Schizosaccharomyces pombe: one gene and its partners. The protein of the gene in region 1 interacts with the protein of each later gene in a biochemical or structural test. Each region holds a gene or a part of one and is shown in the gene's direction. Other genes may lie near its edges. The genes, in order: ccq1, tel1 and est1.

The links.
Region 2: of the proteins of ccq1 (region 1) and tel1, one has a biochemical effect on the other in vitro, tested with the Schizosaccharomyces pombe proteins (one study listed by BioGRID).
Region 3: the proteins of ccq1 (region 1) and est1 interact in a test that uses a peptide from one of them, tested with the Schizosaccharomyces pombe proteins (one study listed by BioGRID).

The regions. Positions count from the first base shown.
Region 1 is NC_003421.2:1,482,513-1,489,178, forward strand, and holds ccq1 (shelterin complex HEAT repeat subunit Ccq1), read left to right. Parts: upstream 1-3,627; 5' UTR 3,628-3,790; coding exon 3,791-5,998; 3' UTR 5,999-6,166; downstream 6,167-6,666. Other genes in the region: signal recognition particle subunit Srp54, read right to left, coding at 576-2,066, 2,547-2,624; ubiquitin hydrolase Ubp5, read right to left, coding at 6,422-6,666. UniProt on the Schizosaccharomyces pombe protein: Component of the meiotic bouquet that facilitates meiotic nuclear reorganization of the telomeres to the centrosome. Links telomeres to the meiotic centrosome component pcp1. Essential for the formation of normal telomere clusters during meiotic prophase.
Region 2 is NC_003421.2:1,271,500-1,282,720, reverse strand, and holds the start of tel1 (ATM checkpoint kinase), read left to right. Parts: upstream 1-5,179; 5' UTR 5,180-5,285; coding exon 5,286-11,221. Other genes in the region: DNA replication factor A subunit Ssb3, read left to right, coding at 357-503, 567-669, 771-835; pdr16 (sec14 family protein), read left to right, coding at 1,822-4,848. UniProt on the Schizosaccharomyces pombe protein: Serine/threonine protein kinase which activates checkpoint signaling upon genotoxic stresses such as ionizing radiation (IR), ultraviolet light (UV), or DNA replication stalling, thereby acting as a DNA damage sensor.
Region 3 is NC_003423.3:2,980,010-2,990,776, forward strand, and holds est1 (telomerase regulator Est1), read left to right. Parts: upstream 1-8,576; 5' UTR 8,577-8,664; coding exon 8,665-8,916; exon of another isoform or gene 8,917-8,957; coding exon 8,958-10,178; 3' UTR 10,179-10,267; downstream 10,268-10,767. Other genes in the region: yml6 (mitochondrial 54S ribosomal protein uL4m), read right to left, coding at 1-437; snr1 (mitochondrial 37S ribosomal protein mS47 ), read left to right, coding at 1,053-2,342; fib1 (fibrillarin, rRNA and histone methyltransferase), read right to left, coding at 2,755-3,672; nucleosome assembly protein Nap2, read right to left, coding at 4,700-5,839; UV excision repair protein rhp23, read left to right, coding at 6,955-7,023, 7,064-7,136, 7,178-8,019, 8,067-8,135, 8,188-8,241; myo51 (myosin type V), read right to left, coding at 10,296-10,761. UniProt on the Schizosaccharomyces pombe protein: Directly involved in telomere replication. Associates with telomerase and during its interaction with trt1, telomerase activity is promoted.

The DNA.
Region 1 (6,666 bases):
TAAGTTCATCTCTGCATTCTGTTCAAATATAGCTTCCAGTTGCCGTTAGTTCTAATTTATGCTTTCTACGTACAAGCCTTTTGGCCTATTTTTAGGTATCCTTCATTGTTCAAACTAGTAATTAGATTAATAAAGCACAAATTTGAAACTTTCAAGAAGCTTTTTCATGTGATTGCATAGAATGAGAAAACCCAAAACTTAATCCTAATCGGCTAAAAAACTATGTTCTCAATACACTACCATTATTAATATACAATAAATCCAATTCTCATTTTACGAAGCAAGAGCAATTAACATAAGCTAACCGAGCTCTTAAGAAATCTGCAAATAATTGTCGAGAGCAATCATACAAGGATGCTTCACGTTTACGGTTTAGCAAACTTTGCTAGCTCTTCAGTAGAAATAGAAACAAATTTTACACAATTATAAAAGCAAACGTTAAGTAATTAGGGAAAGAAAAAGGAAAACGAGAAGGACGATGAATTTTTAATGCATATATTTTTATAAAACAGTAAATAAGGTATTAGAGTAAAATATGCCATATGTGAGTACATTATAATAACGAGGGAAGTAAACTAACGTCTTCGAGGAGGCTTTTGCATATTTTGAAATTGATTGAGCATACCGCTGAAATCCATACCACCTGCCCCTCCGGGACCTCCGCCTCCCATCAACATGTTAGCCATTTTTGAAATATCACCAAAGTTCATAGAACCTGGATTGAGGCCAGGCATTCCTCCCCCCATACCCATGGCTTGCATTCTTTTCTGCATAGCTGCAAGTTGACGAGGGTCTTTTTTGAGAGCTGCGGCTGGATTTCCACCAAGTTTACCCAAAATTCCATCTTTTCCTCCTATCTTTTTCGCCATTTGCGCAAATACTCGGACCTGAGAAATGGTTTCTTCTACCTCTAAAACGCTTGTACCACTACCCCTTGCAACACGTAAAACACGAGAGGGTTGTTCAACAAATAGAAGACCATCCGAATCTAACTCTTGTTCGGTCATTGAATCAACGATGTAGAGCATACGCTTCATACGCAAAGATCCCTCCTCATCATTCATACCGTTCATCATATTACTCATGCCTGGAATCATACTAGCCATTTTACTAAGTGGTCCCAATTTCATAATATTTCCGAGTTGATCTCGAAAGTCTCGGACCGTAAACTTTCCTTGCTCAAGATTTTTAACCATATTCTTTTTATCAAAATCTAAAGACTGAACGTGTTCCATCAGACCTTCAAGATCACCGAGTCCGAGTAGCTTTGAGATAAAAGAACGTGGAGAAAAGCGCTCCAAATCATTAATATGTTCACCGGTACCAATGAACACGATGGGTGTCTTAGTCGCAGCCACGGCGGATAAAGCACCACCACCTTTGGCATGTCCGTCCAATTTTGTGATTATTACAGCGCCAAAGTCAGCAGTCTCTTTAAACGCTTTGCTTTGAGATTCGGCAGCTTGACCAATGCTAGCATCTAAAATCATAATTGTTTGATCTGGGCGAATAGCGTCTGAAATTTCCACCATCTCAGCAAACAACTCCTGCTCCTGCTGATGCCTACCAGATGTATCAACGATGATAACGTCAAATCTATCGTTTTTGAACTTATCAACACCTTCCTTGGCAATAACGACTGGGTCAGTCTCGGTGTAACTACCAAAGTAAGGAACACGTGCTTTGATAGCATTCTGCTTTAATTGATCAAAAGCACCAGCACGGAAAGTATCGGCAGCAACCAAACACGATTTCAAACCTCTCCTTTGGTAGTGCAGAGCAAGCTTTGAGCATGTTGTCGTTTTACCACTGCCTTGTAAACCTACCATCATGATCACTGAAGGTCTCCCTTTTTTAGGAGTAAAAGCATCAACTTTAGGGTCAACCAAACTGCAAAGTTCATCAAAGACAGCCTTCTGGACGATTCGCTTCCCATTTATACCCTGAGGCAAAGTTGATACATTGATTTTTTTCTTAATATTTGAACGTAATTCTTGAACCAATCGCACATTAACATCTGTTTCCAAAAGTGCCGTACATATATTTTTCAGCAGAGTATCGACAAGCTAAATAAAATTATTAGTAAAGGTTCGTATTAAAACGATAGATATCCTAATCAAAACAGAACATTGGGAAAACAAACTAGAGGTCATTAAAAAAATCTTCAGCTGCCTAAAAGTTGCTTGGTAAGTAAACCCTTTTAGTAACTTGAAACCAAAATCTAACATTGCATTATTAAAAAGGGTTTTAAATTTTCATGTCAAGGTAACGTCGATGTAAACGAAGATAATCCCAATATGCAATCAAGATATATATATATAAGAGATTGGATAAACCAGCTACGCAACTAGAAAAGCATATCTGTGGTAGATGATTTTTCTTATCGACAAATTTCGTAAAGCATGAAACGATGTTCATATACAGCGTGTAAAACATGGCAAATGCAAAATTTTTGAAGAAATCAAGCAAAGATGTATTAAATATTTTTATAAATGACATGGCTCACTCTCCGTATGAGAACAAATTTTCGATAGAATAAAACATACCTCTTCATTCACTGAAGTGGCCTTAGAAAAGTCCCCTAACGCAGAGTTCAAACGACGCCCTAAATCTGCAAAAACCATTTTGTCAGATTAAAAACTTCCAACCAGGCAATTTGAAGTTCGTCAAATGTGGTTGGTAGAGGATGAAGTCGTTAAGGACATGCAGTGTCTTCAAGCGAAAAGTCAATAGACAATTGAGGCAATATGATAAATGCCTAAAGATGAAGTAAAGAAGAGTTTGATATTATCTTTTTAAAAAATATTTTCACTGAGTTTAATACCGAGTTATTTCGCCTGCAAGCTTTTTATTGTTTTCAGTATAGGTGATATATCGACAGGATAGCGCAGCACAGCATTCCTATATAATACCTTGTTTGTATAATATTTTAGAATTAATCTATAGCAAAAGTTCAGTAGGTATAATCTTAAAAAATAAAATACTTATTAAGATTATACTCATGTGTAAAAGTGTTTGACTAGGTCCTGACAATTATTGATGCTTCTCTTTCTCACATTTGTAATAGAAACACGAATCGTAAATTCCGTGGTGGCTAACTTTGTCCCACAATCTTTTGATTCATACTTGCTGTAGTTTGTGTTTTAAGACGCTAATAGAAAAAGATCTAAAAGATTGATATTTGAAACTTTTTATATATTTTTCAGGCGTATGTTCTTATTCACCTTAAACTTTTTTGGAATTTTTCGTGCGTTAATCCAGCAATTAGTCTTAAGATCCAGTTTTTCCAAACTTCACGAAGGAAAGCACTTCCAAGTCCTTATAAGAGCCAGAATGAATTGCAATTAGCTGTTTTTTCAATATAAGACTAAAGATAAAGAATCGTTAACCCCTTAACACAAAATTTGAAAAAGAAATAACATTTACTACGCGTTATGGGTGAATAGTTATATTTGTTTACATAATAGACTTAAATAGAGAGGTGACGCGTTACTTTATTAAAATAAAGATTTGTTATATGAAAAAAAGTAATTAGAGCTCTTTTAAATGCTGTAAACATTTTCCGCTACACAGTGTATTTCGTAAAAATATGTACAAATTTAAAGGCGAACACGGAATTCTGGGAACAACATTTGGGTGGTTATTTGTAAAAACGATAATAAAAGACTCTTTTTAGACCATCTAATTCCTCTAAACGTGCGAAAATTATTTCTTTTCGGACGCTAAATTGGTCTCGTGTTGCAATATTTAAACATTCAATTTCTTGTTGAATTTTAACGTGGATGGCAGTATGAGCGAAATTAACGACTTTACGAATTCAATTATTATCAATGAAAGTGATACGAAATACGAGGTTTACTCTGAGGTGAATTCCAGTAATAGATGGATTGCCAAAGAGGATTGCCCTAGCCCGTTGGAAGATGTATGGCTTCTAAAATTAGCAGGCCATAAGAGAAAATTGGAAGAGCCTCTAAGTTGCATGCGTAATGAAGAACCTGCATCCAAACAAAGAGAGATAGAAAAATTTTTACGGACTGATTTGGATCACTCTGAAAATGACTTTTTAACTCAAGAGGTCGATGAATTCCCTTCTACCCAGCAGTTATTTCCTATTCCTTTGCAAAATGACACTGCCTTTGATTCTTCGGAAGAATCTATTACTAAATCTTCTAAATCCTCGTTCAGCGTGCTAGATATTGGCCTTCCAATGTCTGCGCTTCAAAGGAAAATGATGCATCGGTTGGTTCAATACTTTGCCTTTTGTATTGACCATTTTTGTACTGGTCCTAGCGATTCAAGAATCCAAGAAAAAATACGTCTTTTTATTCAATCTGCTCATAACATTGCAAAGCATCCTAGTCTGTATGATACTGAAGTTCGAAATCCCTCCGCTGCTGAATCCACTAATTCCCACGTTTCTTTAGATGCTTCTAATTTCTCTTCATATGCCGAAAATTCTTCAAAATTTCTTTTTTTGCAAGAATTATTCAAAAATCTTTCCCCCTCTTATTCTAAGACATTTTTTTTATTTATCTCCAACCAATTTCTTGCAAACACACTTACTCAATGGCTAAAATCTCAAAACATTGATGCTGAGTTATGGGCTGAAGAGGATGCAAAGACTAGCCAACATCCAGCAATTTGGATTTGTGTGTCCAAAAAGGCTCCCTCCGCTTCTCATTTTCTTCAATCTTGCCCAGATTTGAGTGCAACCATTTTTTATGATATCGAAGCATACATGAGTGTCACTAGTTCCTTGCCCTCTATTCAAAGCCTTGTCCTTAGGCTCATTCACTTGGGATCTATAGAACATGCCATAAAATGTTTTCAATCATCTTACAATGCCTCATTTTTAGTGAACATTGTGGGTGTGGTTGCCACTCTTAGTTCTTCTTCCGAGGAAAATTCAGAAGCTTCAAATTTGAGCACTTTGTTTGAGAAATCTGGGAACTTTGAGGAAATCCTAGGCTCAGAATCTCACTCTTCTATTACAGAAAAAACTCGAGATATTGCTAAAAATGTTGCGACCTGGTTAAAAAATGGAGAAAACTTCTCTTCTTGGCCACTACCTCCTCTAATGGATTTAGCAAGCTTATCGGTTGCAGAACCAAGGGATTCTCAGCCTTCTGTTTCTCAGGTGAACGATACTTTTGTCAAATCATCTGATAGTACATTTCCTTCGTCGCAAAGCATGCAATCACCTTCCAAACTCCACTCTTTAACAAGTAATGCCACCGATTTACTGTCATCAAGCTCACTAAAGAAAAACTTTTTTTCTCAACAGGAAGCTGATGAGGTAGAACTTTCCAATAATTATGATCTCCAAGGTGCAGCTGTCCAATACCTGCAGCGTCGTTTAAGAATGGTAGAAGATGAATTACACGAAGCCATTAATTCCAAAAACGTACAACAAAGTCGCTCAGAGGAGTTGGAGCAGCAAATTTCTAAGCTGACGGATAATTTACAAGAATACAGAAACACTGTTCGAGAGCTCAAGCTGGATTTGGAGAAATCGAAGAAAAAGAATGAAGACCTTTCAAAGCTAGAAGTTGAGAAGGTTGAAGAAATCGCAAACCTTAAAAAAGAGCTTACCCACTTAGCTAAGCAACAAGAATTTGGCTTTAAATATGTACAAGAATTTTCGAATGAAGATCTACAAGGCAAATTAATTGAAGCCAACGAAAAAAATTACAAACTTACTCAACTGTTAAAAACACAGAAAGAAGACGCTGATTTCATTACTAATCAATATCAAAATGCATCTACTTTTGCTGCTGAGCAAAGCAAAGAGGTTGCGAAACTTCAAGCTGAATGTAAGCGCTTACAAGCTATAAATTCTAAAGTTATGGAAGAGGTAAAAGTTTATAATGATTCAAGGGTAGAAGCATTACTCGCTAAGGTCTCTTCTCTGGAGGAGACCTTAAAAATTTTAGAGCAGAAGTCTCTTCCCAAATTTACTCCACATAATCAATCACCAAGGATTATTGATTCTAACTAAATCATTAACGATCAAGAACTTCAGTGGAATCAACTATAAAAAGTTCGTTTAGTCATACGGTTATTTGATTAAATTATGTCGTAATCAGCTTTTAATGAAACAATTTTAATTGTATTAATTTTTCAACAGTTGCAAAAATATATTGGTTTTCTTCATATATTCATCAAGAAGTTAGACATTTCGTTACATACTAGATTCAATGATCTATGTCATTAATTTTGAATTTGTTTTTGAAAGATTTTAATTGTATCAAATTCGAATATGCATCCTCAAAAGATGCAATATCAACATTGATGAAATAATTTTTTATGCTTCATATCATTTTGTTATGCTCGCAATATCGAACCTGTATAAAACTTCATGCACCTTATGCTCAACAGGTAAGGACCAAACAACCAGCAAGGATTGTAAAGCCTTTAAATACTAATTTTTCATCTGAATAGCACGGTCGAGTATATTCGGCTTCTTACTATCTTTCTTAGCACGATCCAAAGCCAATGTACCGTTTAGTTTTTCAACAACATCATATGTAATGTCTTCATCATTCAAATAGACAACTCTATTGTTATCAAAATCCACCACACAGAATTTAATAACGCTGAAAATGCTTTCTGGATACTGTGTGCGAGCTGCAAGACGTAGTTTTGTATCGATGAATTTTTCCTGGG
Region 2 (11,221 bases), 210 kb from region 1:
CTTTCCATAATGTTATTTAAATCACTATATGTAAGACGTATTTATATTGGTCTTTAACCCGTTTATTTACAACATTTCAACCAATTAATAAGTAGTGAAATTAACGCAGAAGGATACAAGGAGATTTTTTTATGAATAATTCTTATAAAAAATAGAACAGTAATGTATCAACGTTAGCCCCCAGCGTTTATATTTACGCTTTTGCTTTTTTATTTACATCCCAGCGCCTTCCAACATATAATACATAACGTACTGCGTTCCAATATTTTAAATAATTCGTGTCAACAAGTAGTTAACTACCTGGTCTGATACATACTTCACTTCCACCACTTTATAAACAACGCGTATAAAATAATATGGAACGCCCTACACCTCGAGTTACGAAAGATATGCTACCAGAATGCTCTGGAAAAACGGTTCGGATTGTTGGCAAGGCGAATCAAGTTGAAGGTGAAACTGCAAAAGTCGATTCCAACGGTTCTTTCGATATGCACCTCACTGTGGTACGTTTTATCTATTTTACAATCGGTTTTCAGAGTTTTTTTATTTTATCTAACTAATTTTAGGATAACACTCTTGAACCCAATCATTTCTATGAATTTGTCGTTTCTGTCAAACCAGATTCTTCGGTGCAGCTTTTAACCTGTGTTGATTTTGGCACTGATATTGGTAAGTTGTGTTTATAAAAATAATAAGGAAGTCCTTTGAACTTCTGCTTCTGCTAAGTCCTACATTCTATTGACCGATTAACTAATTTCCTGTTCCTTTAGATATGGAGGTATACCAGAAACTCGTTCTATTCAGTCATAAGTATAACTCACTTTTTTTTGAATAAGAAACATTTTATGGATCATACAACACAGATTTCTCTTTCATTTCTCATGCACAGTACAAATAAACATGGAAGAATAAACGCGCAGAATCTTGCTTCCTTCTTTTGGTTTTTGCATATTTTATTGCATTTCTAAACTCAAGCTTTTCTTTTATAATGATTCTTCCTTTTGGCTAATACAAATATGAATTTTACTATCGTTTATTTCACTTTTTTTGATTCTTGTTTGAGTATTTTTATATAACGTTCTCCTTTTTTCGCACTATCTTATTTAGTGTATCCTTGAGATGCTCATCGCGGACGATTCGGCTCCGAAGACGGTACATACCGGTGTTTCTTACGTTTGCTCATCCTTCAGTCACCCTGCCATTGTAACAATCCAACTACCATATATATACAAAGCGAGCAACGCAAGTATATCTAGTGGTACTACGCTGAATATCGCTTATTCCTAAAGAAAATTGGTTGTTTTGAGAATTATTATATTACTTTTTCCTTTACAAACTTTTTTGCTAAAACTGTTGTTTAGCAGTTATTGAGATTGTTAGAGAAATAACGTTAGAAAACGTGCATATGCAGAAGTTGGATTGTTTCGGAATTGCTCCGATTGAAATACTCTAAATATATCTGACATTTGTTCTTTGCATTTCTGTCTGCGCCTTATCTTTAGAGATCAGACACGTTTCTTTGAATATAATCTAACTTGCTTGCATGTTAAATTGGTCGAAACAGAGATAAAAGATATCCTGGAATTCATGGTAAACCATCGAGATCTCTTACTAAAAATAGAGAAAAAAGAAAAGAGTTAAGTATTTCGAACCCTATAGTAATTTAAGTCTTGGGAAAATACCTTTTTTCATTTAATTCCATTATTTCTAATTTCCTTTGATATTTCTTCTTTTACGGTGAAAAGAATACCCTTTGCAATCTAAACTGTTAATAGTTTATTCAAAACCAACATTCGTTAATTTTATCGATACAAAACCACGATGAAAGATTCGGAACATCACCATCATGGCCACAACGGCTTTAGTAAGTTTCTCCATAAACTTGGTTTTGGCAAGTCAAAAGGAAAATCGCATAAAAGCAATACCAGCAGTATTCATGAAAGAGAAAATACTGCTGCCAAAGGACCCGCCTCTAATGTGCGTCCTGCTCGCCCTAATGTTAGCACATCTTCCACTTCGAACGAGGTCAGAAAATCTGTACCTGTTGGTAATCCTACTGTACATACCAAAACAGGGTCTTCTTCATCTCCTGCCTCAAAGATGAGAAATACAGTCAACTTGCAGCATATTCAAGCAGCTAACCAAAAAACTCGTAATGCTGAAGGTGAAAGAAAGGTCGCTCAACGCAGGGTCCAATCTGATAAAGCTGAAGCTAATGATGCAGCCATGAGTAGTTCAGCTCCAACGGTAGATGTTTCCGAAGGTAATTCTGCCGCTGAACCAAAAATTACACCCGATGATTCAGATACACCCAGACTTAATGTAGATATGAATGATAAAATAAATGTCGATGAAGCTGCTGCTAAATCTGATAGCAAACTTAATGTCGATCAGATTAATTCTACTACGGAATCTGAAAAAAGAGTTGAGAAAGTTAATCCAAATATTGCGAATAATCCGCTAAAATCACCGGATGCAGTAGCATATAGCAGTGAGACGGTTTCTGATGAAAAACAACCTACTGAGCATCCTGTATCTGCTAATGTCCCTGCAAAATCTGAAAAAGCTGTTTGTGATGAAAATACCAAAATTTCGCTTACAAACACAGAGCATTACAAGTTTCATTCACTTCGCGGAGACGTTGAAGTTGTTGTTGGTGATTTGGAACGTGACGGAAGAGATACCTCTTTAGGCGATGCTTCGGTAAATGAAGCCGCTAAAGAAACTGACGTCGACTCTAGTCGTTTTATTTCAGATGAAAAAGCCGTGACTGAGGATGCGATGAAAACTGAACATGCCTCCAATGCCCCTCTCACTGATGAAAGGCATTTTCAGTTCCATTCTTCTGAAGGAGACATTGAAGGAATCGTTGGGACAATGCAGCGCCAAAGACAATCTGTCTCTTCGTATGACACTATCGTTCCTAGCCAATTCTATAAACAGAAGGTGGTGCAAAATAGCCCCCCAAGCTTGTTGAGCACTGATAACAAAATTCCAGAATCCGGCTCAGATCATCCCTCAAGTCAAGATAATTCCAGTAAAGCATCCTTGGTAGAAAACTCTCAGACACAATCATCTACTCCGAGAAAGCCGTTGCCAACTACCACTAGTCCTAAAGTAAATCCGGAACCGCATAGCGAAAGTATATCTGACACACGACCTTCTACTCCTAGAAAAGTGCCACCAAGTACAGTTCCTAAAATGAACCCGAAGCTCCAGGGTGGCAATAGCGTTACAGCCCCTTCCACCCCTAGTAAAGTGTTGCCAGCGATGAGTCCCAAGGTGGCTCCCAAATTCCAAGGTGGACGCAGCAGTACAGCGCCCTCTACTCCTAATAAGGTATTACCAGCAGCATCTGCTAAAGCTGCTCCAAAGCTTCAAGAAAAAGCTGCATCATTTGACATTCCTAATAAATCTACTATTATCTCTACTAAGTCAACGGTAGCATCGCCAATTAAAGCAAATGAGAACAGTCCTGCCTTGAAGTCTAAAGCATCTTTTGAGTTCCCTAAGGAATTAGATCCTGATGGTACTTGGAATGCACCAATTCCTTATCCTGATGCAAATTGTCCTATGGCTCCCACTTATCGGAATTTGACTTCTGAACAAGAAGAAATGTATGAAGAAGTACTTAAATATTGTTTGGAATTAAAAGAGATTCCTGTAGCGTCTAATTCTAGCAAGAAAACGGATTTGATTGAGTTGGAGCGTCTTTGGCTAACACGCGAATGCATCCTTAGATATTTGCGTGCTACTAAATGGCACGTTTCCAATGCAAAAAAGCGTATTGTTGATACTTTGGTATGGCGTCGTCACTTCGGTGTTAATAATATGGATCCTGATGAAATCCAAGAGGAGAATGCAACTGGTAAGCAAGTATTGCTAGGTTACGACAAGGACGGTCGTCCCTGTTTATACCTATATCCAGCTAGGCAAAACACTAAAACCTCACCACTGCAGATTCGGCATCTGGTTTTTTCATTGGAGTGTGCTATTGATCTTATGCCTCCAGGAGTAGAGACATTGGCTTTGTTGATTAATTTCAAGTCTTCGTCCAATCGTTCAAATCCCAGCGTTGGTCAAGGTAAAGAGGTACTGAATATTTTGCAAACTCATTATTGTGAGCGTCTTGGAAGAGCACTTGTTATTAATATTCCTTGGGCTGTATGGGGTTTTTTTAAATTGATATCTCCATTTATTGACCCTATTACACGAGAGAAGTTAAAGTTCAATGAACCGTTGGATCGTTATGTCCCTAAGGATCAATTAGATTCGAATTTTGGTGGATCTCTTCATTTTGAATATCATCATGAGAAGTACTGGCCCCAGTTGGTGGAATTGTGCAAGTCACGTCGTCTTGGCATCTTGGAAAAATGGAGGAAGATGGGATCTAAAATAGGTACAAGCGAATGGGATTTGAAGGGTGGAGAGGAATATGTTGAATTAATGCAACAGTATGTACGTCCTTCATTGACAAATCGTTCATCTTCTCCAACTGTTACTCCAACTGTAAATACTGATAGACAGCCAAAGACTTTAACCAATAGTGCTGATGAGCTCTCTCCTCAAAAAAGACGAGTTGAGAATCCTAAGCCCGTTGTCAAAGATGAGGGGCCTGTTTCTATCGTTGAAGATGAGGAATCGACGCCTGTTGTTACAAAAAAGGAGGACTCTATTCCTGTTGCTCAATCCACCAAAGCTGATGCTGGGCTCGATGCCGAGAATGATCTTCTTCCCAAATCTGGTTCCGGTGTTTCAGAAACACCAGCTTTTTCGCATGCACGAGATGTTTCTACGGCTTCATTTAGCGACGCTGTTTCGTTTATCACCGCGGATAGCATAGAATAGTTTTTCTTAAGCTCTCGAAACCTCTTCACTCTTTTCTCTTATACTTTATTCGCAATTGAGCTAGTTCTATGATTTCTTTTTTTACAGCCTTGAAAACTTTTAATAGAGGGCTTTTGAATAATTCGGTGCTGAAAAAAGAAAATCCACTATTACTGTACATATTTAGCTAACAGTAGAGTCATTGATATTTCCAAAGAAGATCATTTGTTTTAATTCCTTTTTTCTTATATAGTTGATAGTTTCGTGCTTTTTAGTTTCAATAAGAAGAATTACCACACTTCAATTTATAACTTGGCATCTGTAAAATTCGTACACGCTAAATGAACCTTCCAAATTCCAAAAGTTGGAGACGCGTAACCTTTTACTCAATTATCAGTTTACGCCAAATATGTTAATATATTAATGAAGAAAAGATAACTTTTACTCGATGTAATACTATGACTTCTCTAAATGACATCGTTAATAAGTTGTCTTCATCAAAAATCAAAACACGATCAGATGCTCTACAAAATCTTCGCAGCTACATAATTTACTCCAGAAATGGAAATTCGCTAAATCAGGAAGATGCTTTAATAATCGAAAAGGCCATAAAGCGAGCATTCGAACTTGAATGGCAAATTTCTGCTAATCATGGTAAACGTCAAATTTCCAAAGCTTCCCAAGAGCAGAAGCTTCAAGATATTAGCTATTTGTTAAGAACATGTGTTGAATCTTATATTTTATTATTTAGGGAGCCTCATATTTTAGCGCTTCTAGATATAATTCTAAGACATACTTTCACAGCTAATGGTTCTATATGTGAGGTAGTCTGTTTGAATTTTTCTAAGGCTCTTCGGCTACTATTATCCCATTCTCCTCATTTGCATCATCTTCGTTTCTCGGATTGGCAATCACTAGTTTCCTATTGTTGTCAAGCTATTGAAAAACTAAGTATAGCTGAAGAAACTTATGTTAGTGATAGTGAAGAAGAGCCAATAAGCCAAAAAAACTATCAAGAAATATCTATCTGGAAATCGCACGATGTTATAAGAGTAAAGCAAGAAGTCGTTGAGCTCATTTACGTTATGCGTTCTCTTGTTCAATGGTATGCGGCTCCAATTAATTTTGTTAGTGAGCAACTGCTGAAATTTTTTGAGTTCTTTTTTTATGCTTACACGGAAGAAACAGATGCGCATCTACCAGCTTTGCAGTGTTTGTTTCAGTTATGTGCATATGCGATCCCCAATTGTAATGATTATTCCGCAAGCGTTGTTTTATTAGTCTTTAAGATTCTTATAAACTCTGATAAATGGAAGCGTCTGGATTTAAGATTGCAGCTTATACAATGCTTAGCCATTTCTTATCCACTTTGGTCCAATTCAGAAACATGGGATCCCCATCGTTCCATTAGATCTTTTAATTTAGATCTTCTTAACTCTTCGTTTTTTTCTTTAAAAAATTTCTTAAATTTTTTTGGAAAACGCTCCTCATTATCGCTTGCGAATTTTAGATTCCATACAGTTGAGCCTAAGAACAACATTGCAAAACTTTACGATCCACGGCTACACCTTTTTTTTTCTCTTAGACATAATTCTTTCTTTGAATCTTACTTTATTTATTTTTTTCTTGCAAAACTAATTCTCCTCAAAAAAACCGTGTTGTCCTTAGCAAGCACGGAGCAAGCCAACAAAAAGCAGAAAACATGTTCTCAAATAGAGGAACTGCTTTTGCAAGCTGAGCTAGCCAATATCTCGGCTTCCTCTTTTTCATTGCAACTCATGGTAATTATCACTGCTATTTCTGACAATCTAACAAACGATGATCTATTGTCAATTCAAAAAATGAGTCTTAACTTTACTGAGAAAAAAAATGAACTTCAAAGCTGGTCTTTTTTTATATTGTTCAACATTTGTTACAACAAAGCTTACTCTTCGATGCTTACGACTTCATGTAAAAAGGAAATTTTGGCTGCTGCTTCTCGTGGTCTCCTGAATTCTGTTACGTCTCCTGTATGCTATCAAATTTTAACTTATTTTAACATGTATCGGCCTTTGTGCTTCGCGAGCATTTTTCCTTTCATAAAGCAACAGTTTATTTTATTTAATGATTACTCGCCAATGCTTTCATATGAAGCCATTGATTACTGGAAATCTCTGTACATATTACTTAATGAAAACCTATTTGTTGGTCAAAGCTCTTTTAAATCTGTGTTTCTAAAATGGTTGAAGTGGCATCTATATCATTTGTTCAGCAAAGAGGGTGAACTACCATTTTTCTCATTTACCGATTCTTCTATTATCATTTTTGATTTGTTAATGATGATCTTCTATAGACCGTTGTCATTATCTTATATCACCACAGAAATACGATCACCTTTCGAACGTAATTTGTTTCACCTCAAAGAAGCATGGTCGCCTGTTACGCTTCGTTTTCCTTATACTACTGACGAAATATGTAAACAGTCTACAGAAGGATGCTATCCTTTCAATAGTAACCATACTATTGACTGTGATAGTTTGCAAAATGTCATTAAAATGTTGGAGAGCTCGATAGACGAAATTAGCTCAGCATCTTATGACAAAGATGAGCTTGACAAGGAAACCCCAAGCTTCGAAGCAGTTATGATATTTTCTCAGATATCATTTTTATGTGGCTTTCTAAATTGTTTTATCCAGAAAAAAGGTATTCATAATGTTACTCCTAACAATCTTGTCATTTTTAAAAATTTATTCCCTGAAGTCCTTTCTTTCGTTAAGTCTAATCACAGTTATGACCCAATAATAAATTGCATCTCTACTAATTTGCAGTTTACTATTTCTGATGAGCCAAAACATCTTCGGTATGAAATTGGAAGCGACTTAATTCGTTCAACTCATTTTCGAGACAGTAATCCGCTCAAAACCTTGGTTCTTTATATAATGGATATGGCTTCTAAAAACGTATTCATAAAGCCTCAAGAATTTGATCACGATGAGTATTTCTCCCAGGAGGAAGAAGATATTTATCGGCCAGAAAATTTAATCAGGAATCATCAAATACTTGGTTTGATGGAAGGATCGCTTGAGCAAATACGGAATACTGATCTTTTTATTTTACAAAAATATATCGACTACTTTTCTAGTCATCCTCATGACAGCTTAATTAATATTCTTCATTTGTATCCCATTGAAACTTTTTGTTTTGGTATGTCTGCAATTGGTGCATATTTCCTAGATGTTGCGCGGACATCCGAACCTATTTTCTACAAATGTCTTGAAATACTGGCTCAAAAAATTTTAATGAATTATGATTATGAAAGAGACGAAGTCTATCTAATGATTTTTATTAAAATATTTCAAAAATGTGTTCATTCTAAACTTCAGTTCACGGACGCAACTTTGAAACTTATTGTGAAGATTACAAAATTCATTGAAAAGGTTTTTATTGAGACTAAATTTTCATCATTATCTGGTAGACAAACTTTTTTAAAATTTATATTTCAGTTATCCCCTACATCTCACGTTTATTCAAAATTCGATTATCAAAAATTGATTTCTTTAACTCTTAAAGACTCTGATGTTTGTGTTATTTATAACTTTGTTGACGATTTGGTGATTTTTCTTAAAAAATGTGATAAAACGTTAATTGAAGGTTTTGTTCTCCCAATTTTAAGCATTAAAATTGAGAAGTCATTGTATAAAGGCTTCTGCTATTTATATTTGACTTTAAAGGTTTTTTTGTCAATAAGTTCCAATCGATCAGCATTGTTGTATCAGCTGCTTAAGCTTGCAAACAGCTATGAAACGTCAACTATTTTTGAACCTTTGCTTCGTAAGCTTCACATTCAGAGTGCAAATATTAAGCAACTGTTTCGAATATACAGGTTAGAGATATTTTGGTCATTCGTCAGCAAAGATCTTTCTAATACAACCAATGACTTTCTAGAATTCCCCTACAAACCAATTTATTTCAGCCTTTCCGATTTTTTAAAAGAAAACAGCGACGAAATTATACTTGTTCTTATTCTGACTAAGAATATAACCTTGGCTAAACTCATTACTTCACGCATGTCTGTTGATTTTTCTGAAAAGTATACGCAATTGATCCCTGTTATAACAACTTATACTCATCTAAGTGAAGTAGAGAATAAAAAGTATTCGTTGAGATTTAATTCTATTGATGAAGCACTTGATGTGGAATTACTCAACCGCTCCAAAGCTTTTTTGTTCTGCTTAGAGATGCTTAAAGAGGTTAAAGAATTAGGCTCTACTTTTAAATCTATAAGCTCAACTTCGTTTAAGGTGTACTCACAATTAACAATTTTTGCCAATCGCGTCTCTTTTAACAATAGCACAGCGATACCATTCTTTTCTACAAAATCTGTGTTATGGTATTGCAATAGACTCTTCCAAGAATTAGAGGGCTTCTCCTCTATCCCTTCAGTCATTGATTTAGTTTTAAGGAGACTTGCAATACAACTACACTTTGCGACGGATGAAGAACTTCAAGTTACTATTTCTTTTAGATTGTGTGCTTTTCTATGTTTCTCTGATCCTTTTATCACTTCAAACTATTTGGTAATGATAGTACTTAGGATAGCTAGACAATTACTCTCAATACCTTGTACCCAATCACTAGGATTAGGAATTGCGCGCTTTCATTTGAAAAAATTCAAACCTACTGATTTTGATTATTTCTTTCAACTAGCCGAATTCTGTATGGACTTTTTGGGTTTTTGCTACAACACTATTGGTACGAAGATGGAGGCTATCCAAGATTTTTATACTTGGTTTGATGGTTACGTTACTGCTTTACTAAATTTTGAGTATGAAGGTTATGGATTTTTACGCTGTCAAATAAACTTTGTACGTTCAGTGATGACAACCAAAAATGAATGGATAGAGGTTTCAAATAAACTGTTCGAAAGAGGTCACTTTCTTAAGAGAATCGCAATGAATAATTATCTTTGTCTCTACTTTTGGCAAGTCCTCGATGCTTGTCCCAGAAATGTTTTACACTCCTTAAGCCTTGAAATTTGGAAATGTTACAAAGCATACGATATTACTGAATTTCCTGACTCTTTGAAGCTCTTTTTTTCAGACATCATGGGCTGGAATTTTTTCAAATCTCCGGAAATTGCTGATCTCAATCATTATATACCCAAAACCGATCCTCGATTATGCGATACTAAAACTTATGAAGAATCAAAACTTATTATTTGGAAATTGATATGTCAAAAAGCATGTTCTCTTTTATTTAAATATGACATTTTATTAGATTCATTCATTGAGGATTGCATTAGGATGTTCTTTGAAAATGGTAATCACCAAGAGCTTAGAAAATTTTTAAATTTTCCAAAAGATAGTATCATCTACGATAGTGATTTCAAGACTCTTGTTTCTGAGGAAGGTTCTTTTCAATGGGTAAAATTACAACCCACAAATTTTGATTCTTTGTCAAATTGGACTAAGGAAGAGACGCTGAAATTATTAAATATGATGGGAAAATCATCAACAACACATTCTCTAAAATTGCTGAGTACTTACATGGTGGGGTTTTCAACTTCAATTATTCAATATATTATACATTTGATTCTGTTGGAGTTTGATTTTAATGGTAACAACAAAAAGCAAAAGGAGTATGTAACACAACTGATCTTATCTGGTTTGTTAAATAAAAATACAAATAGTATTCGAAAGACTTGCATGAATATTTTATTATACCTTCGTCGGCAATTAGGGCATCATGCTCTTAATCCATTTGAAGCAAACTACTGGGTTCCCATTAATTACAGTGTTGCAGCATCAACTGCTTATGATTGCCATTTGTATGAACAGAGTCTACTTTTCTTGACAATACATAATACAAAAACAGATGAATTGGACATCACCCTTTTATCGGACATTCTTTCCCAACTGCCTTGTCCGGATGCTTATTACGGAATAAAACGCGAAACTAGCTTCAAAAATATTTTGCTCAAGGCGGTGCATGAAAAGCGGAGCCCATTAGCCATTTCGTACCTCGATGCTGCAAATATGTATCGAAGCAATGAAGATGAGGGGACTAAGATGATGTTTTCAAATACTCTTAATAACGCTGGATTCTTTAGCTTGAATGAATTTTACATCGATTCACTCAAAGCCAATGATGCTATTGATGAATGCAGCAACGAAGTGTATGCTTCTGCTTGGCGGATGCAAAAATGGGATATCCCTCCACTTTCTTTGGACAATAAGACTACTAAGGATTGTTTGGTTTTTGAGGTATTACATGCAGTGCATAACTACGCTATTTACGGTAATTATTTGCACCTCGAAGAATACATTAACAAAAAATTATTACTAATTAATCCCAACGAGGAACCCGATAGTCTACTATTTTATGCTTTGGCTTATGATTTGAAGTTTTTAATACG
Region 3 (10,767 bases), on another chromosome or scaffold:
AGCAAAATCCGTGTTTTTGGTTGACTTAAGTTGATGGGATTTTCAAGGATGGTCAGTTCATTATTAATAAATCTTGTACTTAGCGCAATCCTCATTGCTAAATTATAAACTTGGGTTTGTAATTTTGTACTGAAATCTCTAGGCTTAGGACCATGTGATTTAGCACCACCTCTTCTTATAGGACTTGAGGCATCGCCTACCCGTGCATGTCCTGTACCTTTTTGTCGATAAAGTTTTCGACCGGAACAAGTAATTTCATTTCGGCGCTTTGAGCTAGCAGTGCCTTGACGGTCATTATCTGCTTCATAAATAACGGCACGATGCAAAATATCTCGACGAAATCTTTCTTGCAGGAAACTTCCGGGAATAAGAAAAAGACTCGCGGGCTCCAACGACGGAAATTTATATCGCACCAAGTGCAACATTTTTGCTGTCATTCTGATTAGTTTGTGAAATGGACGACTAGTACCTGAAGAATGGATGTATTTTACTTTCAATTAGTCTAACACAATGTACTAAGTATCACAATGCATTTCATTATAACATATTGTGCATTCAAAAGTATCGTAAAGCGTAAAGTATCGAGTTCATTAAATTACGTTGTTTTATGCAACAGGAACTTTATGACTGTATACTGTTAGATAAATTAATGATATCTCATTCATTACCTAAAATAGAAGAAATAATTATTTATACTATGTGATGTCGTACATTAAATATTTGGAATTTGCTCATTCTGACACCTTAAATTGTTGTTGCAAATAGCACCTGTGTATTACAATAACAGTTTTGAGTACTCAATGCTATGCAACAAGTGGTTTAAGACTTTTAAAATCGACAAACCCTGAGAAACTAAATTAATACTAAATATAGATTTTTTGAGACAAGTATTTGCCCAGCTAATGCATGGAAACCTACTTTGTTTTACGAATGGTCTTTTGTGATTTGTTATTAGTTCACAATTAAGAACACACTTCGTTATAAAGTAACGTAGAAGAGACGTTAACCGTCTATGCAAAAATAATCGGTGTTATTTAACTTGGTTAGCTTTCATGGGATTGAAATTAAATATCTCTAACGATTTGAAAAAATCTGGATTTATGTTAAGGCAATCCTTACTTAAAACAAGTGTGTCAAATTTCCTTTCTTTGAATGCAAGTAGCACCATGTCTAGAGCGTTTATTCGAAATCCAAAATTTTATAGCACTTCCTCAAATGATACAGTTTTATACGAGAGTAAAAATGGAGCAAGGATATTTACTTTAAACAGGCCAAAAGTATTGAACGCTATCAACGTTGACATGATAGATTCAATCCTACCAAAGCTAGTTTCATTAGAAGAATCAAATCTGGCCAAGGTAATTATTCTTAAAGGAAATGGTCGCTCTTTTAGTTCGGGAGGTGACATTAAAGCTGCAGCACTTTCAATACAAGATGGAAAATTACCTGAAGTTCGCCATGCATTTGCTCAAGAGTATCGATTAAGCCATACGTTAGCTACATACCAGAAACCAGTTGTGGCTTTGATGAATGGCATCACCATGGGAGGTGGATCTGGTTTGGCTATGCATGTTCCTTTCCGTATTGCGTGTGAAGATACGATGTTTGCTATGCCAGAAACCGGAATTGGCTATTTTACTGACGTGGCTGCCAGTTTCTTCTTCAGTAGACTACCAGGATACTTTGGAACTTATCTGGGATTGACATCTCAAATCGTAAAAGGATATGATTGCCTGCGTACTGGAATTGCAACTCATTTCGTTCCGAAGCATATGTTTCCTCATTTGGAGGACAGGCTTGCAGAGTTAAACACGTCTGATATTTCTAAAATCAATAATACAATCCTGGAATTTGCCGAATTTGCTAGCAGTTCACCACCCACTTTTACTCCAGACGTTATGGATGTCATTAATAAATGCTTCTGCAAAAATGATACCGTTGATATTATTCGTGCGTTAAAAGAATATGCTTCAAACACTAGTGCTTTAGCGGAATTTGCAAAATCTACCGTTAAAACATTGTATAGCAAATCTCCGACTTCAATTGCTGTTACCAATCGACTTATTAAGTCTGCTGCTAAGTGGAGTATATCTGAAGCATTTTACTATGATCATATCGTTTCCTATTATATGCTTAAACAGCCTGATTTTGTTGAAGGTGTTAATGCTCAACTTATTACAAAGACCAAAAATCCAAAATGGAGCAAATCCCATGAATATCACTTTAAAGATTTAGAAAACTATTTCAAGTTGCCTTCAGAATACAATAATGGGATATCTTTTGCTGCAAAAGGAAGACGTAAAACTCCCCTTTGGAATTATAAGACTTATCCTTATTTATAATCCCAAAGGTTACATAAATTAAATATTGTTCTTTATGTCTACTAAGTTTTTTCAGTATTATAATAAGATGATTTATTTCAAAGACCCTGTTATGTTTTAGCATGCGATAAAGCACATAACTCTTTTTAGCAGCTAAAAATAATGATAGCCATTTTAAATACTCATACTAAAACTCTTTTTCGGTAGCTGTGCGTACGATAGTTCAAAAAAAAGAATGCTAACGGCATTAATATATATTCCATAATTCCCATATTGGATCAAACAATGAGAAAATAATTGACAAAACTGCCAAACGCATACCCAAAATATATTTTTATTATTCCAATTGCTCACGGCCTTACCATAAGCTTTTCTAGCAAAAAAAATTATATGATAAACTAAAAAAGCATGCACTTATGGCATATATTTCTGTTTACTGATGTCTCAAGTATTTTCCTACGATGATACAGTGATCACGTTCGTAAGGCTCTAAAGTAAGTTGTTCTTGAGGTTTAATCTTTTCCTCTTGCATTTTCTTAACCTCACGAGCAAAAACAACAGCTGCATCAGCGGTAGAATCAATACAAGAAGCCTTAACAGAGATAACAACTCCACCTTCGTTTTTCAAAAAGGCGGCGGCGTTCAAAGCAACGATACGAGCCTGATCGGGTTGAGCAACGTCTGCAAAAACAACGTCAACCATTCCGACTAACATACGATACTTTTGAACATGGCGAGCATCCTCAACAATGGGGATGACATTCGTGCGCTTTTTAGCCATGTTAAGAAGATCACGTCCAGAACGATGAGAAAACTCAACAGCGTAGACAAGACCCTCAGGACCAACAACATCAGCAACGTGAGAAACGGATGTACCGTTAGCAGCACCAAGATATAAAACACGTGCACCAGGTTTAATATAGATGTTGTCTAAACCGCCCAAAATACCTGCGGCAAGTTTAGAACGGAAAGGATTCCATACACGGTATTCAACTTTGGTACCATCTGGGGAATCAACGCTAATACGTTTTTCATTGTATACTGATTCACCAGGCACCAGATTGCGGGTGACAAGCAAATCTTCTTTTCCGCGAGCAATGAAGACACCTGCATGACGATGAGGCTCAATAATAACTTTAGCACCTCCTTTGGCTCCACCACGGCCACCGCTAGAACCACCGCGGCCTCCTCTGGCACCTCCACGACCGCCACGACCGCCACGAGCACCACCGCGTCCTCCTCCTCTGGCACCTCCACGGCCACCGCCGAAACCACCACGGCCACCATTGAAACCACCACGGCCTCCTCTAGAGCCACCTCGTCCACCTCTTGAACCTGGTGTATATGCCATTATTTTTTTTTGTGGTAGGTAATGGGTCTGTAAAATTTTTAGGATAGCAGAGAGGATTACAGTTGGTGTGACTACGAACACAATTCTGCAACGCTAAAAATTTTTACGAGTTCGAAACAATCTGTAAAACCTCTAGTTAACGAAGGTAAACAACGCTAAAGCTAACTTAATGACATTAGTAGCATCGCAGTGTTATTATTTGCAGCTCATAACTTCTCATTAGTAAGGTAAACATATGTAGCAAAAGATGGGTTCCTGCTGTTTGAAAAGCAATTGTTTTAGGTCTCAGCAACAAATTAGAGGTATTCAATATAATTCTTTTGAAAGATTGGTGAAGAGAATGAATAGACATCTCTACTTGTGTTCATATAATAATTACGTTTTGACAATCGAAGTAACTAAACTTAGAGTTACAAGAGGTAGTGATTTATTGTCAGAACCGTTATTAGTTGTAGTTCTTCCAACCTAGTACTAGTTCTTATACCTTATCATATAAACTCGGTGTGAGCTAACAATGCACTTAAAGATTGTTAATTAATGTACGAACAGATCTAGCTTTGACGTATAAAATAAATAGAAAAAGCTATTGCAGATAGTTATAGTAATAGCCGCTTACTTTTTGCTGGCTGTCCGCATTATCATTTTAGAAAAGCAAATGCTAATAAATAACACCACAGCTTCAAATAATGCGCGTACTAACCTAATACTAGCTATTAAAAAAGGAACCATGTAAGTAGAATATACTCACAGAATGATAAAAAATTACTTAGTATATTTTTTATACCTGCATTGGAAAAAAAAATTCAAAATTTAAAAAGACAAGAAAACAAATTGAAATTTTAAAGACAAATCCTAACTTAGATCCGCTTATTAAATATTTTATAGGATACTACGACGTAAATCAACATTTTAATTTTTTAAGCCACAATAAACTTACCAAACTATAAGCGAAATTATCATTCAGCGTCAATTTCTCATTTTTGCTCACATTGAACTTACTCATAATCTAACGAACACAATATAAATATCAATCACTAATTTCGCTACTCAAAATTTCTTCGTCATCTGAAGACAGATCCTCCTCATCAGTATATGCGTCTTCAGAGTCTTCTTCATCCATTTGGTTAAAATCGCTCAAGTCACCTTCTTCTAAGAAACAGTCAATTGCCAAGGGTATGATTTGATCTTTAAAGACTTCTCCCAATTGATAGTCGAGTTCTAAAAGCTCTGTTTTGTCATCCAAACCATCATCAGATTCATCATCGTCCAACTGAGGAGGTGAGAAAAAGTTGAAAAAACTGTCATTAGGGACCGTAGTACGGACCAATCTAGTTTGATTTGTTTTACGGTTACGTTGTTTTTTTGTCTCCACTCTAACCGTTAAATTTTTTTCAGGCTTGATCCAATTAATCTTATCACCCTCAGCATGATCATACAAAAACTCACCCGAAGGACTTAAATCATCTTTATAGTAATAAGTTTTCGTTAAAATCTTGTTTGTAAAGTAATCATTTGAGTCAAATTCGAATTCTAGTTTGTAACCATGAACATCTCCCGAAAGGTTGGTAAAACGAATGTCGCTGAGTGATCGCAAGACATTTTCATCTTCTGGTGTTATCATTTCGCCAACCAAGAAAACATTATGAAGACAAGTCAGCCAAAATTCGGGAATTCCCTTAGGATCTGGAAGATTATTTTGAAATATTTCTTCCTCGTGATCTAATTCGTCGTCCACTGGTTCAGAAACACCCTTGATAATTTCGGCTCTTCTAGAGAAAATAGGTTGATATTTTTTCTCGTATTTTGTTTCCAGATCTAACATTTTTTGACGAAATTCATATTGAATTGCATCACAATCTTTTTGAAGGCCTTTCAATGCTGTAATACGATTTTGGACTGCTGGCGCAAGGCTCTCTATATATCCCGACGACTTTCCAACCAACGAGCTAAGGCGTCCCTCAATCATTGATAACATGGCCGGATTGTTGCGCAATAACCCGCTAACTTCATCATGTGCTGATTTGTCCTCCAGTTGTGATTGCAAGGTTTGTCTAGCTTTTTCTAATGCGGCCTTACTAAGATGTACATCTGAAGATGGAGTATTTTGTGGCGTTTGAGCAGCAAACCCATTCCAAGACTTCTTAAAATCTCCTGGACCTTTAGACATATTTTAATAATGCAAACGGAGATTAAATTAAATTGGTAAAGCTTCGTTGTTGGACTGTGGATCTTCGTGAAGTCTACCAAAGAGATGTTGGGCCTGACTCGTTATTGCAGCTTAGCATATTTTAATGATATGTTTACAGCATTTTTCGTATGAGAGTCTTTAATGAAATATATTTATGTGTTTAGCGGCTATCATAGTTTGGGATAGTATTTGGGGTTTTATTTGGAAGAATATGTAAAATTAGAAAGCATCCGGAAGTTTACATATACGTTGACTTTTTTCTCTCCGCTTTCCTTATACTTTCTCTGACAAAGGTAATGGATTGTATAAACCAAAGGCGCTGCTTTCAAATTCTGATGTAGCTGTCCAAATAGCTAAAAAAAAAATCAATGAAATAAACAAATGTATATATCTCGTTTAAGCAAAGTGTCTACGCTATTCATATTAGTTTAACATATGTATCGTATCCCAATTATTAGTTGAAAATTCTATAAAAAATATATATATATGGATACTGATTAATAAACAACTCTACGTATCATATACTTCTATATTCATGAGTTAAACAACCTTATTGTAGCATTTGTTTACTAGTTAGTTGCCCACGGAGGAGCGAAAAACTATCGGAACATAATTCAAAAGTCAAACTTGTAAATAAAAATCTGCTATTGTAACGGTCATTGCTAACTTAAATAAACAAATCATAATTAATATATATAAATTTATTAGCGATCGTTCTGTAAATAAATAGAAAATGAGAATGAATAATCCAACAGAAAAATATATATATATATAGTAAATTAAAGAATAAAGAATAAACTAATACACTGTATTGAGTACTAATGGACTTGGAAACGAGGTAAATGTTTCACTCACAACACTTTCAAACAAATGAAATATTTTCTTACATTAAATTTTAGGTTCAAATAAACCAAACTGTTTTGCTTTTTAGATTTTTCATTCACATTTTATGATAAACAATGCGATGATACCAAATAATGTTACTTGTGTATGGTGTTTGTTTGCTACCTTGACAATTATTCTCTGATGCAACGTTTTTTCAAAGAGGTTTTCATTACTATACATTTACCCACTACGCCAAATTTGCTTTGAAAATGAATTTGACATTCAAAAATCTACAGCAGCAGAAATTTGTTATTTCTGATGTTTCTGCAGATACCAAAGTATGATAATTGTGGCATATTATTTTTCTAACGTAAACAGATTTCAGAATTAAAAGAAAAAATTCAAACGCAACAGAATTATGAAGTCGAACGTCAAAAGTTAATTTACTCAGGTATATAACATAATTTTAATATGTAAAATACTAATTTATAGGTCGAATCCTTGCTGATGACAAAACTGTTGGCGAATACAATATAAAAGAACAGGATTTCATTGTATGCATGGTTTCACGACCCAAAACTTCCACCTCTACTCCGAAATCAGCTGCCAGTCCTGCCCCCAATCCTCCGGCTTCCGTACCTGAAAAGAAAGTTGAAGCTCCTTCTTCTACCGTGGCGGAATCTACCTCTACTACACAAACTGTTGCTGCTGCTGCCCCTTCAAACCCAGATACTACTGCCACTAGTGAAGCACCAATAGACGCCAACACATTGGCAGTTGGTGCTCAACGAAATGTTGCTGTCGAAAATATGGTAGAAATGGGATACGAACGCAGCGAAGTTGAAAGAGCCATGCGTGCCGCTTTTAACAACCCTGATCGGGCAGTGGAATACTTATTAACTGGTATTCCCGAAGACATTCTCAATCGACAGAGAGAAGAGAGTGCTGCAGCCCTTGCTGCTCAGCAACAGCAAAGCGAAGCCCTTGCTCCTACTTCCACTGGCCAGCCAGCGAATCTTTTTGAACAAGCTGCTTTATCAGAAAATGAAAATCAAGAACAACCTTCTAATACCGTTGGTGATGACCCTCTAGGCTTCCTTCGTAGCATTCCTCAATTTCAACAGCTAAGACAAATTGTTCAACAAAATCCACAGATGTTGGAAACTATATTGCAACAAATTGGGCAGGGAGATCCTGCATTGGCTCAAGCTATTACGCAAAATCCTGAAGCATTTTTGCAATTATTGGCGGAGGGTGCCGAAGGCGAGTCTGCCTTACCTTCTGGTGGAATTCAGATTCAAATTACTCAAGAAGAATCTGAGAGTATTGATAGAGTATGTTATTTCTATTTTTTTGTTTTAACTATCTAACAAGCTTTTAGTTATGTCAACTTGGCTTCGACAGAAACATTGTAATTCAGGCTTATTTAGCTTGTGATAAAAATGAAGAGGTGTGTTTTTTTTTTTTTTTTGATTTATTGAATTATCAACTAACAATTGTAGCTTGCTGCTAATTACCTTTTCGAGCATGGACATGAATCTGAGGATGAACCTTAAAGCGCGCACCTTATAAATTATTGCTTTTCGCTTGAAAAACGCCTAAATGGCAACTAATTCAGCTCTTTATTGCTAGCATTTAGTTAAGGATACGGAATATTAAACAAAACAATGATATTTTTGTAATTGTTGAGTACAGGGTTGCTCCGAGCACAGCACATAAGTTGTTTTCAATCATTTGTCGTACATGTAAATATTATATATATACATATATATATTTTTTTTCCCTACTATTTTATTTGATAGAACCATATTTTTCTTTCTCTAATACTGAATTGTCATTACGCTTAGGGTTTTTGCATAAGATATCAAGTAGGAAGAAGTCAAGTGACTTAAGTGGTCTAATTTCCACGCTCAACGCTGCAGAAATACGTTTTTGATAATTTTTTATATTTTTCTTAAAATGTGACGATATTATAATTAATGTCGCAACAACTTTCAAGTAATGAAATTTGTGAAGAGCAGGGAAAGCTCGTCAAAGCGCTGTGTGAAGCAGCTCAAGGAGGTTTTAAGCATGATTTATATGAGAAAATTATAGCAATTGAAATTGAAGTTGAGAAGAAACTGTTAAATCGTCTAAAAAGTATTCAAACAAATACTTTTGAACGTCCAGATATTATATGGTCATGTTGCCATTATAAAATTATTCAACATTTTAGAAGTAGGTTTAGAGAGGTGAGTAAAAACTAAAGTATGGGACAATTATTAATTTTAAGATACATCCTCGACACGTTGTTGAAAAAAAAAAGACAAAAAAGGTTTTCTTTAAATTCTTGAAAACGTGTGCAATCTTTTACCAGACTTGCATAAGTGAACTAATATCTAAGTTCCAATTGGATTCATACAGACCGTTTTTTTGTAAATGGACATCATCAGCTACTGTTTCTTCGACTATTTCAAACGATGAAATGTCATCAATTCCTGAAGCTTCGTATTCAAGGAACCATATGGAGGCATTAGAATGCGTGTATAATTGTTTTATATATTTAGGGGATATGGCCAGATATTCTTCTACTTGCCTCAAAAAACGCGGCGCATATGATAGAGCTTTAGGGTTTTATGATTTGGCTCATCGAACATTACCCGGAAACGGAATGCATAGGAATCAAATTGCTGTTGTCTGGGCATCCGATGAATGTATAGTGGAGTCTATTTATTGGTTTTCATCGGCTTTATGTTCTGAAGACCCGCCCAAGAGTGCTTTGTTAAATTTGCTTAAACAGTTGATTGCATTTTACAGACGCTGTTTCGCTGTCCATTTTGAATTTGTATCACCCATGATGATTTTACTTTTTATTATATCCGACTGTTGCATACATTCGTTAAAAGAAATTCAGCCTTTTAAATGTCCCTCAATCATGGTCAAGGATTTGGAGAATTCATTATTACAGTCGAACATCAGAAATGTAGGATATGAAAAAAAAAATCTTTACTACATATCATCTGCCTTTTCAAATCTTTTACACTGTCGTTATTTCAACTGTAACGATCGTCTGAGAAGTTTCTATTACCGATTTTCTTCTTGGTTATTTCATCAAACGCTTGCTTGTGCTAAAGAAGTTGAATCAGAGCGTGCTCCAACGTCTTACTTAACTTCCTGTTTACCAAGTATTAAGGTGATACTAGCAAGGGTGCTTGAAAGTTCTCCAGCTTTTGGATTCATTGAGCGGAACGAATTAGAACAATTGAGTTATCATTTCAGAATTTGTGAAAAGTTTTTTAAAGAATCTTCAGAAAATAAAATGTTAAACCTTTTTGAGGACTACAATGAATTCGGATTATGCAAATCTTTCATTTGTTTATTTAAAAGATTGAACGAAGACATTATAGGGCCAAAGTTAAATATAAACCCACCCGACTATACTACTCATCCATTTTCGGAATCGATCAAACGATTTTATCAAATATCCAAAATACTAAATTTATTGCTTTCCTGAAGTTACTATATGATGCTTTGAATTAACAGAGAATGATAAGAATATAGTATTAATGAGTACTAATATAAATTAAAAATATTGATCGGGTGTAACGTTTAATGATACTTGATAAAAAGCTTATAATGTAGCTTTAGCCAATAAGTTTATCAACTCTGAAAGTCGAAGCTCTTCGTATATATGATTATTTTCAAGTGATAATAAAGGGTTTTTAGAAGCAGCTATAGGAATAGCGTGCCCATTAGTGTTTGTGATTTTACCATTTGTAAAACCAGATTGCTTATACTTACAAGATAATGCCTCTACGGCTTTTGAAAAGGATTTTGGTAGAGGATTTTCACCAGCGCATGGCTGATACCTATTTAGGAGGCATACAACTTCAAATGGCGAAAGTAAATTACAAACAGAGAGAATAACATCCAAATCGTTTGCATCGTTTTTACGAAGGCAAAATACCAAAGGAGACTGCATTAAAGGCAATAGTGACGAGTTAACATAACTAATACCCTTTTGATGACACCAGTTAATCAACAGCGAGGCATTATAGGAAACCTGAGAAGCAGATTTCCAAGTGTACGGTGACCGGCTAGAA